2 linked regions of the Arabidopsis thaliana genome follow. The protein of the gene in region 1 interacts with the protein of each later gene in a biochemical or structural test. Each region holds a gene or a part of one and is shown in the gene's direction. Other genes may lie near its edges.

What was found.
Region 2: the proteins of CBF1 (region 1) and HAG1 form a complex in vitro, tested with the Arabidopsis thaliana proteins (one study listed by BioGRID).

What each region holds. Positions count from the first base shown.
Region 1 is NC_003075.7:13,019,681-13,026,589, reverse strand, and holds CBF1 (C-repeat/DRE binding factor 1), read left to right. Parts: upstream 1-3,593; 5' UTR 3,594-4,027; coding exon 4,028-4,669; 3' UTR 4,670-4,810; downstream 4,811-6,909. Other genes in the region: RS40 (arginine/serine-rich splicing factor 35), read right to left, coding at 1-18, 92-333, 422-534, 1,317-1,422. UniProt on the Arabidopsis thaliana protein: Transcriptional activator that binds specifically to the DNA sequence 5'-[AG]CCGAC-3'. Binding to the C-repeat/DRE element mediates cold-inducible transcription. CBF/DREB1 factors play a key role in freezing tolerance and cold acclimation.
Region 2 is NC_003074.8:20,209,900-20,218,153, forward strand, and holds HAG1 (histone acetyltransferase of the GNAT family 1), read left to right. Parts: upstream 1-3,506; 5' UTR 3,507-3,693; coding exon 3,694-4,326; intron 4,327-4,413; coding exon 4,414-4,478; intron 4,479-4,587; coding exon 4,588-4,668; intron 4,669-4,767; coding exon 4,768-4,839; intron 4,840-5,083; coding exon 5,084-5,252; intron 5,253-5,522; coding exon 5,523-5,566; intron 5,567-5,811; coding exon 5,812-5,911; intron 5,912-6,310; coding exon 6,311-6,379; intron 6,380-6,463; coding exon 6,464-6,518; intron 6,519-6,747; coding exon 6,748-6,866; intron 6,867-6,975; coding exon 6,976-7,069; intron 7,070-7,181; coding exon 7,182-7,323; intron 7,324-7,412; coding exon 7,413-7,476; 3' UTR 7,477-7,754; downstream 7,755-8,254. Other genes in the region: DJ1F (Class I glutamine amidotransferase-like superfamily protein), read left to right, coding at 1,149-1,328, 1,559-2,032, 2,126-2,491, 2,798-2,977; BZIP25 (basic leucine zipper 25), read right to left, coding at 8,186-8,254.

The sequences.
Region 1 (6,909 bases):
ACCTTATCCATCAGCTTACTGAATGAAAACACAGATGAAACGTGAGTCTAAGAAAGGAAAGTGATTAGATACTAAAATGGACAGAACAAACCTGTTATTTGAAGCATCCAATGCTCTGGTGGCATCCTCTTGTGCCTCGTACTGGATAAATGCAAAATTCCTCCTGATCCTAACGTTTACGATCTTTCCATACGGCTCAAAGTGTTTCTCTAGATCCCGGGTCCTAGTATTATCCGCATCAAAGTTAATCACAAAGAGAGTCTTGGAAGGTCTCATGCTGGATGAGGATCTCCTTGAACCACCACCAGATCTTTTATCACCTCCACGTTCACTCTATATACACAGAACCATTTATGTTATCAGTATTTCAAACCTCATAACTAAGTCTGGAAAGAAATAAATCCTGGGGTAAGTATCCTACCTTTGTCCATTCAACACGAAGTCTGCGTCCCTTACGCCCAAATTCAAAGCGGTCAAGTGCTCGGATGGCATCTTCCGCATCCCTTTCATCTTCCATGTATACAAAAGCAAACCCTGGAGAAAAAAGAAAAAGCCAAAAGCAAAGATCTGAGTACATTAACAGTGAGGAAGTGGACCAGATTAAGAACCTTCAACATACACGAACACTGTCCTCCCTCCTTCAACGCCTAACTTAACTCCTAGAACATATTAAATTTTGAACATTCCTAGAACCTTAAAAAAACTCCAAATGACCAGTGAAGCAGTTACAGACCTTGCATTATGGAATTAATATGTCAAGGAACAACTGAAAATGTGGAAGTCAGACGGGGATATGAATGAAAATAGAGAGCCTTCTCCATTGCAGAGGCATGTCCAAGTGTGCAAAGTGATGAGGAATGAAATGCAATTAAGATGGCAGTGCTAATGCGGATGGAAAGTGACTGATTTTGAGGGATAAGAGATGGATTTCCCTATGGTCCATTCATGGCCAGGTGTGAGTATAGGCGTCCCAAGATTATCAAACACATCCTGCGTCAAAGAAAATGCGGTTTTACACTAATTTTTTTTCTAAAAATCTTATTCCTCTGAAGTACTTTCCAAAGTTCAAGCAGGCTGCATCAGGTGGCCAGGTGAATGTGGTCAATGTTTAGTACTCCTTCCAAAGGGAGATAGTCCACCAGAGCCTTCTCGTGGATGGAATGAAGACGAGAGTGGATTTCATGAAATGCATTTGAATTTCGCTTTTTCATTGTACTTAGTGGATAACAATACTGCTTATTATAATTCATTCAGGTTAACCACAAAGACAGAGTAGTAAGAGGCAGAAGAAAGAAAGAAAGAAAAAAAAGGCTCACCAGCTTTCATATCAACCCTCTCAACCTTGCCGTATTTCCTGAATAGTCGTTCCAGGTCACCTTCGCGCGCATCATACTCAAAGTTCCCACAGAAGACTGGCTTCATGCTTCCTGTATAGACAACCACAATAGTAAAAAAGATTCATGAGACTTCCTTAAATGATAATTTAAACACGAATATCACAACTAATTTGTCACCAAGATGAAAACTTTTAACACTAAAAACTAGAGCCCTCACACTAAATCGAATTGTTTTGCAGTAAATTAGGACTTGAAACTCATCTATTCGAGCTCCAAATCAGTTAAATCTAGGAACTGAACTAGACAGTATTAGAATCAAAAGTACAATGCAACAGATCTAATCTAACTACAGTTAGATCTGAATATCATTCACAAGATAGAGAAAACGAGAACAATCCACGAAAGCATGAATCTTTCATACCAGAAAAACAAAGAAGGCTCTGATGAGATTCAACTTATAAAAAACGAGATGGACCAATTCTCTTGTTCTACTTTTCACCAACCAAAAAAAAAAGAAGGAAGAAGGAGATGAGAACCACGACGATATAGAGAGTGAATAAACTGCATCAATTTACCTGTAGAATGATTTTGGCAGGCGTAGTCGCGTGGAAGCCCTAGAAGAAGAAGAAGCTCGCGTCGAGAGATAGGTGAAACTGAAAACAGAGTTAGGTACGATTTAGATAAAGAAGGCAAGAGAGATCATTTGGATTTTTATTTTATTTTCTTTTCTTTTTAGTTTCAAAGATATTTTTTTCAGAACACATTTTGACTTTCTTATTTTGTCTGAAGGACGAGAAGTCGAGAACGTCTACTTTTTAGGAGTATTGGGCCTATATGTTAAACAAATTATAAGAAGCCCAACAAGTAAACAAAATTGAAGCTGCTTTCTAAAAAAACAAAACAATAACAGATTATGAAGACAAACAAATATTAGATTTTTTAATTTTGATTAGAATATACTGATTAATAGAACTAGAACATGTATCACATAACATCTACACAATGAATAATGCATACAAGTTTTTAAAAAGTCTTGCAACTTAACACTCTCAAGATCCCACATGTCAAGTTTTGGATTCGATGAAACATATGAGTTTGTTAGTAAGTTTAATAATTGTTGTTATAAAGAAATGTGTATATTTATATATTACAATTAATTAAATAAATTGTTTTCCTCTTCATTGGATTGCTTCACTTATGTTAAGAGTTTAGTAGTTGCTTTCAAGGCCGAATGATATGTGGCCACGAACATATCATCACACGTGGAATGAGAACGAGTTTCGACTTTTCAAATATGCCATAAAGCCTCAATTATCTTCTTATCTCGCTTGAATATGCAACAAAAAGCTATTAAGATATTCATAAAATAGAGGCGTCTCAAATCTACCAACAAAAAGCTACAAAAGATCCAGTCCAATCCACTGAAGAATCCCAAAACAGAGTAGAAACCCAAACAACCCGATTCAGCAAATAATTCAAAAACGAACGTCCGTACGATTTTCCAAAAACAGAAAGATGGGTTCCACAAGATAATGCGTGGGGACGTCAAAATCCTCTAAACCCGTGGTTCGGCCGCGGAAACACTGTCCCTACCTTCCCCACCAGCCTTCACTGGCCCCATACGTCACTCTCAAGCTTTACTTTCTATTTTCCACTAAAGCCAATTTTGTTGTTTTCTTCACCTTACCACTCTTTTTTTCCCTCTTTGTTGTGTCTTCTTTTCTCCTAAATGTCAATAACGTGAGAGCGAGAGGTAACGAGAGAGATATTTTTGTCAGCGAATATATTTCATGCATATCTTATTGTGAAGATTTTTTATACCTTTTTTTTGTCAATACAATATAGCTATTATTGAGATTGAGATATTTTGTGGGAATTATTGGGATTCAAGATAACTTGCTATTTTGTATTGGTCTAATCCTTCGCTTAGTCCTGTCCTGGTCCATTTACATGTTTTTGGTTATAGTTTGTTTAAACTGAATAATTTTGTTCATCATATGCATTTATGACTCATTTTTAACCGTCCATCGAAATTGATAATTATCCATTACCAAATCTGATTAATTTTTTTAAAAAATCAAGCTTTTCTATATTGTAGTATTATTTTTGGTTAAATATTAGGACATCTACTTCCAATACAAATACTACATGAGTATTTAAAATATCATTTCACAGAGATATTTATGTCTATTATGTTATAGACGGGTGACAATTAATGACAATTTGTTTATTCATAGGAATTTAAAAACGATTGTAACAACAGCAGCCAGCCAACCACACAGGCACACACTCGATAGAATTTAAAGAACTCATAAAGGTTAACGAGTGAAGAGTCAAAAGTCTCTTTACAAGGGTCAAAGGACACACGTCAGACAGCGAGTGGAACATCGTGGGATTGCTTCGCTATGTACTATACACGTGTCATTCACAGAGACAAAAACTCCGTGTGCTCCCCACATATCCGTTATCTCTCCTCCGGCCAATATAAACACCAATTCTCACTCTCACTTTTTATACTAACTACACACTTGAAAAAGAATCTACCTGAAAAGAAAAAAAAGAGAGAGAGATATAAATAGCTTTACCAAGACAGATATACTATCTTTTATTAATCCAAAAAGACTGAGAACTCTAGTAACTACGTACTACTTAAACCTTATCCAGTTTCTTGAAACAGAGTACTCTGATCAATGAACTCATTTTCAGCTTTTTCTGAAATGTTTGGCTCCGATTACGAGCCTCAAGGCGGAGATTATTGTCCGACGTTGGCCACGAGTTGTCCGAAGAAACCGGCGGGCCGTAAGAAGTTTCGTGAGACTCGTCACCCAATTTACAGAGGAGTTCGTCAAAGAAACTCCGGTAAGTGGGTTTCTGAAGTGAGAGAGCCAAACAAGAAAACCAGGATTTGGCTCGGGACTTTCCAAACCGCTGAGATGGCAGCTCGTGCTCACGACGTCGCTGCATTAGCCCTCCGTGGCCGATCAGCATGTCTCAACTTCGCTGACTCGGCTTGGCGGCTACGAATCCCGGAGTCAACATGCGCCAAGGATATCCAAAAAGCGGCTGCTGAAGCGGCGTTGGCTTTTCAAGATGAGACGTGTGATACGACGACCACGAATCATGGCCTGGACATGGAGGAGACGATGGTGGAAGCTATTTATACACCGGAACAGAGCGAAGGTGCGTTTTATATGGATGAGGAGACAATGTTTGGGATGCCGACTTTGTTGGATAATATGGCTGAAGGCATGCTTTTACCGCCGCCGTCTGTTCAATGGAATCATAATTATGACGGCGAAGGAGATGGTGACGTGTCGCTTTGGAGTTACTAATATTCGATAGTCGTTTCCATTTTTGTACTATAGTTTGAAAATATTCTAGTTCCTTTTTTTAGAATGGTTCCTTCATTTTATTTTATTTTATTGTTGTAGAAACGAGTGGAAAATAATTCAATACAAAACAAATCGTTTTCTACTTCTTTGCTTCACATAAGTTAAAAGTCAAATATTTAACAAAAAAGATATTAAAAGTCATATTGTAGTTGCTTTCAAGGCAAAATATGTGGACAGATCATTACACGTGGATGATGTTTGTAAATATGCCACAAAACCTGCATTACATTATTTTATTCTATCTCATGTAAGTTACAGATCTTACAATTTAGCAACAGAAAGCCACAAAATATTACATAAATTGGCTCGTCTCGAATCTAGCAACCAAAAAAATTCAGCCCAGTTCACTATAAAGAATATAAAAAAAAGTTTCCTAAAATAGTGTATAAAACCGAAACAAACTAATTCAACAAACCCGAAATAAACAAATCCGTACGACAACCAAAAATATCTTTCAGATGGGTTCCACAAGATAACCCAGTGCCAATCAGAATTCTGAAAGCGTGGCTCGACCGCGGAAACCATTGTCCATACCTTCTCTTCTTTGTCCCCCCTTACGTGGCTCGCTGTGGAGTCTCGTACCACGTGTCGCGTCACTTCACTCTTTACTTTCTATTTTCCACTAAAATCATAATTTGTCTTTTTCTTGACCATACCCACTCTTTTTTCTTCTCGTTGTCGTCTTGCTTCTCCTAAATATCTCAAATAACGTGAGAGACTTGAGTGTGAGAGGTAGGTAACGAGGCAGACTTTTTTTGGAAGCGAATATAACTTATGCTGATATTTTATTTAGCTTTCTGATTGGAGTTGAGATATTATATAGGTATTATTGAGATATTATATACGTATTATTGAGATTTGAGATATTTTGTAGATTTTATAGTTCTATCGGACTAATTCTTGGCTTAATCCACTAACATGTTTTTGTTTAGTTAATTAAACTGATTATTTTCTGCGCTATAGTTTTGTTAAACACCTTTTAGACGTAACAAAGCAATTACGCTTGATCATCCATCGTAGACTCTTTTTCTTTTTTTACATCTCATAGAAGTTTTGTTTAAACACAGCAGGAAGTAAATTATTTTCTTATTACGTACGTATGATTGTTTTTAGACTATTTTAGTACTTTGAGAAGTAAAATTGGGGATACGAGATAAAAGACAATTGATTAACATGCTTTTTATTTTGACTTCCGAAACTAATCATGGTTGTCTATGTTTATAAATTGTGTTCTTTTTGTTGAAAAACTCAGATAATGATTAAATCAGTAGCGAATGGATGGAGAACACATGATTTTAGATTGCATACCGTAAAACAAAAAAAATCATGATGGATGTAGAACATTCAAATGGGTCAAATAAATACGTATGTGATCAAAAGAAAGTATGTGATCAAAAGGGTTAGCACGAGTACCTTGGGAGGAAATTCTTCTAATTATGAATTATGCAAGAATTTTCGTCAAGGGAAGGTGGGGAAGAGGTAGCTAAAGAATAGAGAATCATATGACTAAGGACGTGGTGGTTGAAGGAAATGAGAGAATACATGAAGAAGAGAAACTTCTTTGAGTGAGAAGGAAGTGCGCTGGCTGGAGAGAAAAGAGAGAAAAGAGTTTCGAGTGAGAGAGAGGGCGTTGAGATTGTGATCAACTTAATGTAATATGTTCTTTTATTACATTTTCTTTTTGTCATATACTCAAACCTTTTACTATTTTGTCTCATAAATCTAACACACCCCACCATTTGTTAATGCATGATGGTAGAAAATATTAAATATAATTAACTACTTTTATGTGATCAAAATTAGGTTTCAGACTCGTTTCGCGATCCGATCTACAATTACAACTGCATGCTTCTAATTGATCTAAATTCTAAATTTTTTATACATATTAAAAAAACAACTTTTTGTTAAATTCTCAATCATCATTTTTGTGATTAACAATTTTTTATAACTCTAAACCAATAATATTTGATTATTTATTTTATATGTATAATGATGATTGAGAATTTTAATTAGCAGTCTATTTAGGGTTTTCCTAAAGTTACAATATGTTGTTACCCTTCTAGTTAAATTTTCCAAAATACCATATTTCATAACTTTTCAAACTGTTTATTAATTCAACCGTAAAAAGCACTAAAATGTTACATTTGATCATTCACCCAAATTAAATTCAAAAGTTTTTC
Region 2 (8,254 bases), on another chromosome or scaffold:
TTTTCCCCTCTTTTTTTTATTTATGATAAGGTTTCTACGTTAGTAACTCTTATATATATGTTTTGACTGTTACACACTTGTGGAATCATGATGGCTGGATTGGTGATTCGACCATTTTGACATTGAAAACCGGTCTCCCTCCAATTACCTTGAAGCGTTATGCAATAAGTGTAAATGTCTGCTTTCGAATGGTTTTAGCAGTCCATGAGGCTAATCGACCCAACCCAACTCATAGACTATAGAGTTACATCATTTCCGTTGCATGTCTCTTGTGACACAAAGAACTAAACAAGATAAGAGAGAATTAGAGAAGCTATAAAACATAAAATCACTACATGTCACATTTATCATTTACTATGTTGAATATTTTTACCGTTCAATTTAAAGAAATCCAACAATATGCTTAAAATAATTTTTTTGATTAATGTTTCCAAATTCTATATGTTCTTTTAATCATATGGTAATTGATTATTTTCGACCATTCTGATAAAGTTTGGAGTACACTGTATTTTTTTTTAAAAATAGAAGAAATGTATATATAAATTAACTAAGAATATATTAAGTTTTATTGTTTTAATAAAGTAGTTTCATTGCTGCATGCACTCTGCCATTTACATAAAATGCAAGCCTTGTAATTTACTTTTCTTCATTAATTGTTTAAGATTTGTTTTCAATTTTAATTTTGTTAAGAAAACAAATCTTAATACGTTTTTTTATTTTGCTGGCTCTGAGGCAACAAACTTTTTTTACAATTACTTCTTTGTCATCCCCACTTAATCTGGCCTTACCGTTTTTATTTGGCTTCCCGGGTTATGCATAAGAAGATGTCAAGTAGGTGAGAGGTTGGTGTGCGTAGGGAATTTGCAATTAACACGTGTTTATTTTAACTCTCTTCAATTTTAAATGGTGAGAGTAGACGTAGCAAACTAGTCTAATCGCGAACTAAACCACTTTATATTTTTTGAACGAAATAGAAATTGTTGTAGTTTTCTATAAATTATTTTTTAATAATCTCCAAATAGAGCAACGTATCCACTTATATATATAACCTTATCTCTTTTTTTATTGGAGAAAAAAAAAGTACACTGTGATAATTTGAACTCATATATATACACACTAGTTGTGTGTGCTTGTCTTAAGAAAAAACAATGGGATCAATGGCTCAGAAATCGGTTTTGATGTTATGCGGAGAGTTCATGGAAGCCTACGAGACTATAGTACCTCTCTACGTCCTCCAAGCGTTTGGTGTTAGCGTCCACTGCGTTTCTCCTGGTCGCAAAACTGGCGACAAGTGCGTCATGGCCGCTCACGATCTCCTTGGCCTCGAGGCATTTCTCGAATCTTTCACTTTTTCTTCATTTCAGTTTTTTTCCCTTGCAATCGTTCTTTGCATATTTAGTAAAACAATGCGATCAAATGCTCATAATTGGGTGGACTTTCCCCTTTATTATCTTTATCCAAAAAGTTTAGATAATTGGGTGGTCTCAACCCAAAATGCATGGGCCTACTCTTAACAGTAAAAAAGAAGAGTTTCAATTTGACTTTTACCTTTTTACAGATATACACCGAACTGGTGGTTGACCATCTAACACTAAACGCTAACTTCGATGGCGTCATCCCCGACCAATACGACGCCATCATCATTCCCGGTGGACGTTTCACGGAACTTTTGAGCGCCGACGAGAAATGCGTGAGTCTTGTTGCTAGATTCGCCGAACTCAAGAAGCTCATCTTCACGAGCTGCCACAGCCAGCTGTTTCTTGCGGCGGCAGGTCTGCTCACCGGTGGAATGAAGTGCACGGCGTTCGAAAGCATGAAACCGTTTATCGAGCTCTCCGGCGGCGCATGGTGGCAACAGCCTGGAGTCCAGACCCTTTTCGAAATCACTGATTGTGTCAAGGACGGCAGTTTCATGTCCACTATGGGGTGGCCAACGCTTGGCCATAGTCTCAAAGTTTTGTTAGAATCACTTGGCTCCAAGATTTCTAGCTCTAAAGAGAATCATCAGACTTCTTTGCTTTTCTTGATTGGGGTAAGTAGCTTATTTTCATAAGACTCTCTTTTAGACTTTATATATTGGAATTAAAAAAATGGTCTGACTAATACGTAATTTTGGTATATTTAGGATTGTGTTGAAGATTATAGTATCAACGTACCATTTAAAGCGTTTCAAGCTTTGGGATGTAAAGTGGATGCAGTGACGCCAACCAAGAAGAGAGGTGAGAAATGCGCTACAATCGTACACGACCTTGAAGACGGACGGCAACTTCCTACTGAGAAGTTTGGTCACAACTTCTATGTGACCGTTGCGTGGGATGATGTCTCTGTGGATGATTACGACTGCATTGTGGTTCCCGGAGGAAGATCTCCGGAGCTCTTGGTGATGAACCCCAAGGCCGTCGAATTGGTCAGAAAGTTTGTTGAGAAAGGCAAGTTTGTTGCTGCCATTGGAATGGGAAATTGGCTACTTGCCGCCACAGGCGCCCTTAAGGTAATATACACCGTTTTACAAAAATTCGTTTTACTATTCTAAAGACTTAAAAGTTAAAACTGAAGCCGAACCAAACCATATTTTAATTTAAACGAAACAAAAATGTCAAGATAAGTTGCTCTAAGCACATAGGAATCTCCTATGGTTATGGTTATGACTAATATTATTCCAGCATATTGTTGAAGGTTAGTAAGATATAATTCATCACATTTATGGCACCACTTCCTTAGCATAGATTATAATTTTTGCCAGCTTGTTATAACTCATCTAATTCCCATTGTGGCATGCTATATTATTACATTGCAGAAGAAGAGATGTGCAAGTAGTTATGGGACAAAGGTGGCTGTGAAGGTTGCTGGTGGTGAGATCGTGGAATCTGAACGGTGCGTGACCGACGACAAGCTGGTCACAGCCGCATCAACTTCCGATCTTCCTGCCTTTTTGTATGCATTGTCGACTGCACTTGGTCTCTCTGTTGTATTCTAATGTCAAGTGGTGCTTTAACGTCTAATGCCTAAAAAAATAAAAACATATCTTTGTATGTCGAAATATAAGGTCGTCCCTCTAATTATTTATGTACAAGCTTGGATTTGCATATATATATGGGAAGAAGAGTTGCCACACTTGCTTACACCTCTTCTAATTGTGTTTTTTTATAAGAAATTACCACTATCAAGTTGTCATTCTCCTCGTTTTACATTTGGTAAACAAGCTCTATTGACCATTTATGTTGTAACACTACTTCAAGACTAAAGTTGATTAGAGATAGCAAAATCTGTCACCAGCAAATTGTGTTTCCTTGTTAAATACTAGTAACAGATTCCAAACACATTAAATTTTGTGAAGTTAAATTTAACAACATACTATAAAATAAAACAACACATAAACGGATTAAAGACGTTAATGTTCATCCAAAAAGTATACTGAACTTTTAAATAATTTACCGACGAATTGTACTGTTTATATCCGACCAATATAGTTAATCACATTTTAATCACTGCATAAATTTACTCATAGGAATTACAATTACCGAATTAGTTTCGGTTTAAAATTTGTTGGATCAATAAAACAAAAAAAAAAAAACGATGCCAGAATATTCCGTTCGTCGGCGTAGTCTTTCCCGCCCCCAAATTATCTGAGCAAAAACCCTAGACTCTCGATTTCGTCACGATTTTCTCAATCACCTTCACTATACTGCTTCGATGGACTCTCACTCTTCCCACCTCAACGCCGCCAATCGTTCCCGCAGTTCTCAGACTCCTTCTCCTTCTCATTCCGCCTCCGCCTCCGTCACTTCTTCTCTCCACAAACGCAAACTCGCCGCCACCACGGCAGCGAATGCAGCCGCTTCTGAAGATCACGCCCCTCCTTCTTCCTCTTTCCCTCCTTCCTCCTTCTCTGCCGATACTCGCGACGGCGCTTTAACCTCCAACGATGAACTCGAGAGCATCTCCGCTCGCGGCGCCGATACAGATTCAGATCCTGATGAATCAGAGGATATAGTCGTGGATGATGACGAGGACGAATTTGCTCCTGAACAGGACCAGGACTCTTCTATCCGCACATTCACCGCCGCTCGACTCGATTCCAGCTCTGGAGTCAACGGTTCGAGTCGCAACACTAAACTTAAGACGGAAAGCTCCACGGTGAAGCTTGAGAGCTCTGATGGTGGAAAAGATGGTGGATCATCTGTGGTTGGGACTGGTGTGAGTGGCACTGTTGGAGGAAGCTCAATCTCAGGGCTCGTGCCAAAGGATGAGTCTGTTAAGGTATTGGCTGAGAATTTCCAGACTAGCGGAGCTTACATTGCCAGAGAAGAGGCTTTGAAAAGAGAGGTAGCTTATCACTGGATCTATGCTAATGAATTACTAGATGAGTTCAGAGAATCGCCATTGACAAATTTGGTGATATCTTTCATTTAGGAGCAAGCAGGACGACTCAAATTTGTTTGTTACTCAAATGATTCCATTGATGAGCATATGATGTGGTAATGCCTTCCATCATTTGTCTCCTGCCATTGAATTTAGCTTCTAATCAGCTATGCATTCTTCGTTCTAACCTCGTTTTTTATGAATAATTTGTTGAATGTATTCCAGCTTGATTGGGTTGAAGAACATTTTTGCAAGACAGTTACCTAATATGCCCAAGGAGTACATTGTTCGTCTTCTGATGGATAGGTAAACATGCTAAACTAAAGTGAAACATTGACAATTTTTGTAACAAACAATCGCAAATGGTAAGCATTCTAATATCTGTAACTTATGTTATTTGCCCAGGAAACATAAGTCTGTTATGGTACTAAGAGGGAATCTAGTTGTAGGTGGTATCACGTATCGTCCATATCACAGGTAAGGTTTTCGCATAACTCTTCCCATCTTTTGACCCAGTGATGATTTTCTCCACCATATGTATGTGAATACGCTTATACAGCTTTTTGCTGTTTAGAGAGTAGCATGTTGACTTGTTATCTTATATTATCATCAAACACAGCTTACTTTTCCTATAGAATATTTCTGAAACTGTCTGATGTCATAATGAGCATGAATACAGTCTTGACATGCTTATTAACTCCATTGTTTCCCTGGGATTCAGTCAGAAGTTTGGGGAAATAGCATTTTGTGCAATCACAGCAGATGAACAAGTAAAAGGTTACGGTACCAGATTGATGAACCACTTGAAACAACATGCACGTGATGTTGATGGATTGACGCATTTTCTTACTTATGCTGACAACAATGCTGTTGGTTACTTCGTCAAGCAGGTTGGTGTTTCGTATATTGTGCAATTTTTTGCTCTATTTTTAATCTCTCAACAAACTTCGACCAACTGTAGTACATTCCAGAAAAGTAGTTGAACTGTGTTTTGGATGTAATGTTTTCTATTGGTTAATAGGAGATACCTCAGAGTTTCACTTCTAAAAGTTCTGTTTCCACACTTAGCTATCAAGTCTACTTTCTGGATTCTAACTGTAATTTTTATATTCTTACAGTCGTCCACTAAGTTGATCTGTTACGTCTATTATCTTGTGCAGGGTTTTACTAAAGAGATTTACTTGGAGAAAGATGTATGGCATGGGTATGGAAACTATGTATCTCTTAAGTTCAAACTGCTCATTTACCATTCTTAACTTCTGTGCTTTATCTGTATGATGTCTAACTTAAATATTTGTTGGCCCAATTAAGCTCACAAACCTTAGAATACAAGCATTTTATTGCGTGGCTGATTATGCTACGAGAGAGCTATTTAAAACTTGTCTTTATCATTCTCTTCTTCATCTTGAAACTTACTTTTGCAAATAAAAACCTTTGAAATTTTCTTAGGTTCATTAAAGACTATGATGGTGGTCTCCTTATGGAATGCAAAATTGATCCAAAGCTGCCATATACGGATTTGTCAAGCATGATACGCCAGCAAAGAAAGGTAAGCCTTTGAAAATACCTTTTATGTGGTGAAAAAATATCTCGAGCCTTCAGGTTCATCTATACCCAAATAGTTCTTCAGGTTACGAAGCTATTTGTTTACTTTCTTTACTTTCACTATTTAACTCTAGCATTATGGCTGATTCTGAAAAAAATTAAAAACATAAGAAATACAAACTTGAGGATTCGATTATTGAAAGTTCCTCTCTTCTCTCTCTCGAGGAATTAATTAATGGAAATTCCTGTCTTCCCCTATGAGCCCAAAAATCAAGCTGCCCTCCCAAAAGCTATCTGCTTTCAAGAGAGCATAGCAACGTAACACTAAACGAGTAACCATTGTTACATTTCTGTCTAATTATACGTATCAGTTTCTGATCCGGTTGTACTTTTATAATATCAGGCAATTGATGAAAGGATAAGAGAGTTATCAAACTGTCAGAATGTGTATCCAAAAATTGAGTTTCTAAAGGTAAACATCAATGGTTTCATGTCTTGTGGCTATTATTGTATACAATGTTTCCAGTAGTAATAATAAATGAGATGATTTTTGCAGAATGAAGCTGGAATTCCTAGAAAGATTATCAAAGTTGAGGAAATACGTGGCTTAAGTAAGTTATGATTCTACTTGATGGTGTTATTGCAGTTTCTTACCCAAAATATAGACATATCTCCCTTTAAAATGTTCTAGTCATCTCAAAATTAAGATTGTGCTAGTCGCTCCATGAGATCAAGTTGATATGCATGTTTGAGATTCTCCTGCATTTGTTAGCTGTGGGCTAAGGGTTTATCTGTAATACATGAATTGGCTAATTCATGAATTATGGTATACTGTTGCAGGGGAAGCTGGTTGGACCCCAGATCAGTGGGGGCACACTCGTTTCAAATTATTCAATGGTTCTGCTGATATGGTGACAAATCAAAAACAGTTGAATGCACTCATGCGTGCGCTTTTAAAGGTTGTGATAAATCTTTTTTGTTTTGTTATTAATTATTATGTCCTCTTACATATTATGTTATTGCAATTACATGCCCTTTAATTTGACAAGCTGTAGTTAATTGCTACAGACAATGCAAGACCATGCTGATGCTTGGCCTTTCAAAGAACCAGTGGATTCTCGCGATGTCCCTGATTACTATGACATCATTAAGGATCCCATTGGTAAGAAGATATAGTTAAAATATCAATTTCGCTATTAATTATCCAGAATTTGTCCTCTTTTTAAGTAGAAGTGTTAAATCACTTTGGTAACCAAAAAATGGTTTGAACACAGATCTGAAGGTAATTGCAAAGAGGGTAGAGTCGGAACAGTATTACGTGACATTGGATATGTTTGTTGCGGATGCGAGACGGATGTTTAACAATTGTAGAACTTACAACTCCCCCGATACCATTTATTACAAATGTGCAACCAGGTAAGACGTTTTTTTCTTTCATTTCATTTCTTCTCTTCTTATTCAGTAATGAAATAGTGCATTTACTTTGTTTTTCTTTCTCTTAAAAGGTTGGAAACACACTTCCATAGCAAAGTACAAGCAGGTCTCCAATCTGGTGCTAAATCTCAATAGAAGAAGATGGTAGAGGTTATATTAATATCATTTTCTAGATCTTTCATTTTAAGATACTTTCATTGGAACTGGGAATACATGTATACTATTTTAGGCCCATGTATACTGGAGCTTAATTGTTTGTATGTTTTTTTTTCGGATAGGTAAATATTTGATTTAGTTAGATTCAGAATGTTTAAGTTTTTACTTTGTAGGTTAAATTTGTTCTATAAAGCTTATTTCCAACTGTAAAGACACATTTCATTTTACTAAATGTTTCTGATGAAAATCACATAACCAAATTTTGATATCGAACGGGATCACCAGTTTCGGTGGTTTTGATCGGATCAACAATGGTGAAGAGAATGAGCGTCATGGGTCATTTGTGTTTACACGCTTACACTCACGCTTACGCTGCACAGATTTCTTTAATCTGATGAATGTGAGTTGTTGTTGCTCAACATTTCGTTAAAACGGTTACGTTTGCCATAAGTAACTATTGATACATTTGTGTTTATACGCTTACGCTGCTGCACATGTTTACGTGATTACGTCTACGACCATTTCAACTTCGATTTGCCTTAGAAGCACGATAGCTTATACATTCTTCCATCATGTCCAATCATATATATAATATTAAGAGTTTACCGTCGCTGAGTCATACAGTAAATAAAAATACAGACAATAGTTACCTCAATCAAAATCACAAAACCAATGACTCTTTTTCTGGTTAATGCTTGTGATTCCAATGGGGTAGGGTTTCATACAGATTAGAATCAGGAGCAAATGGATTCTGCAT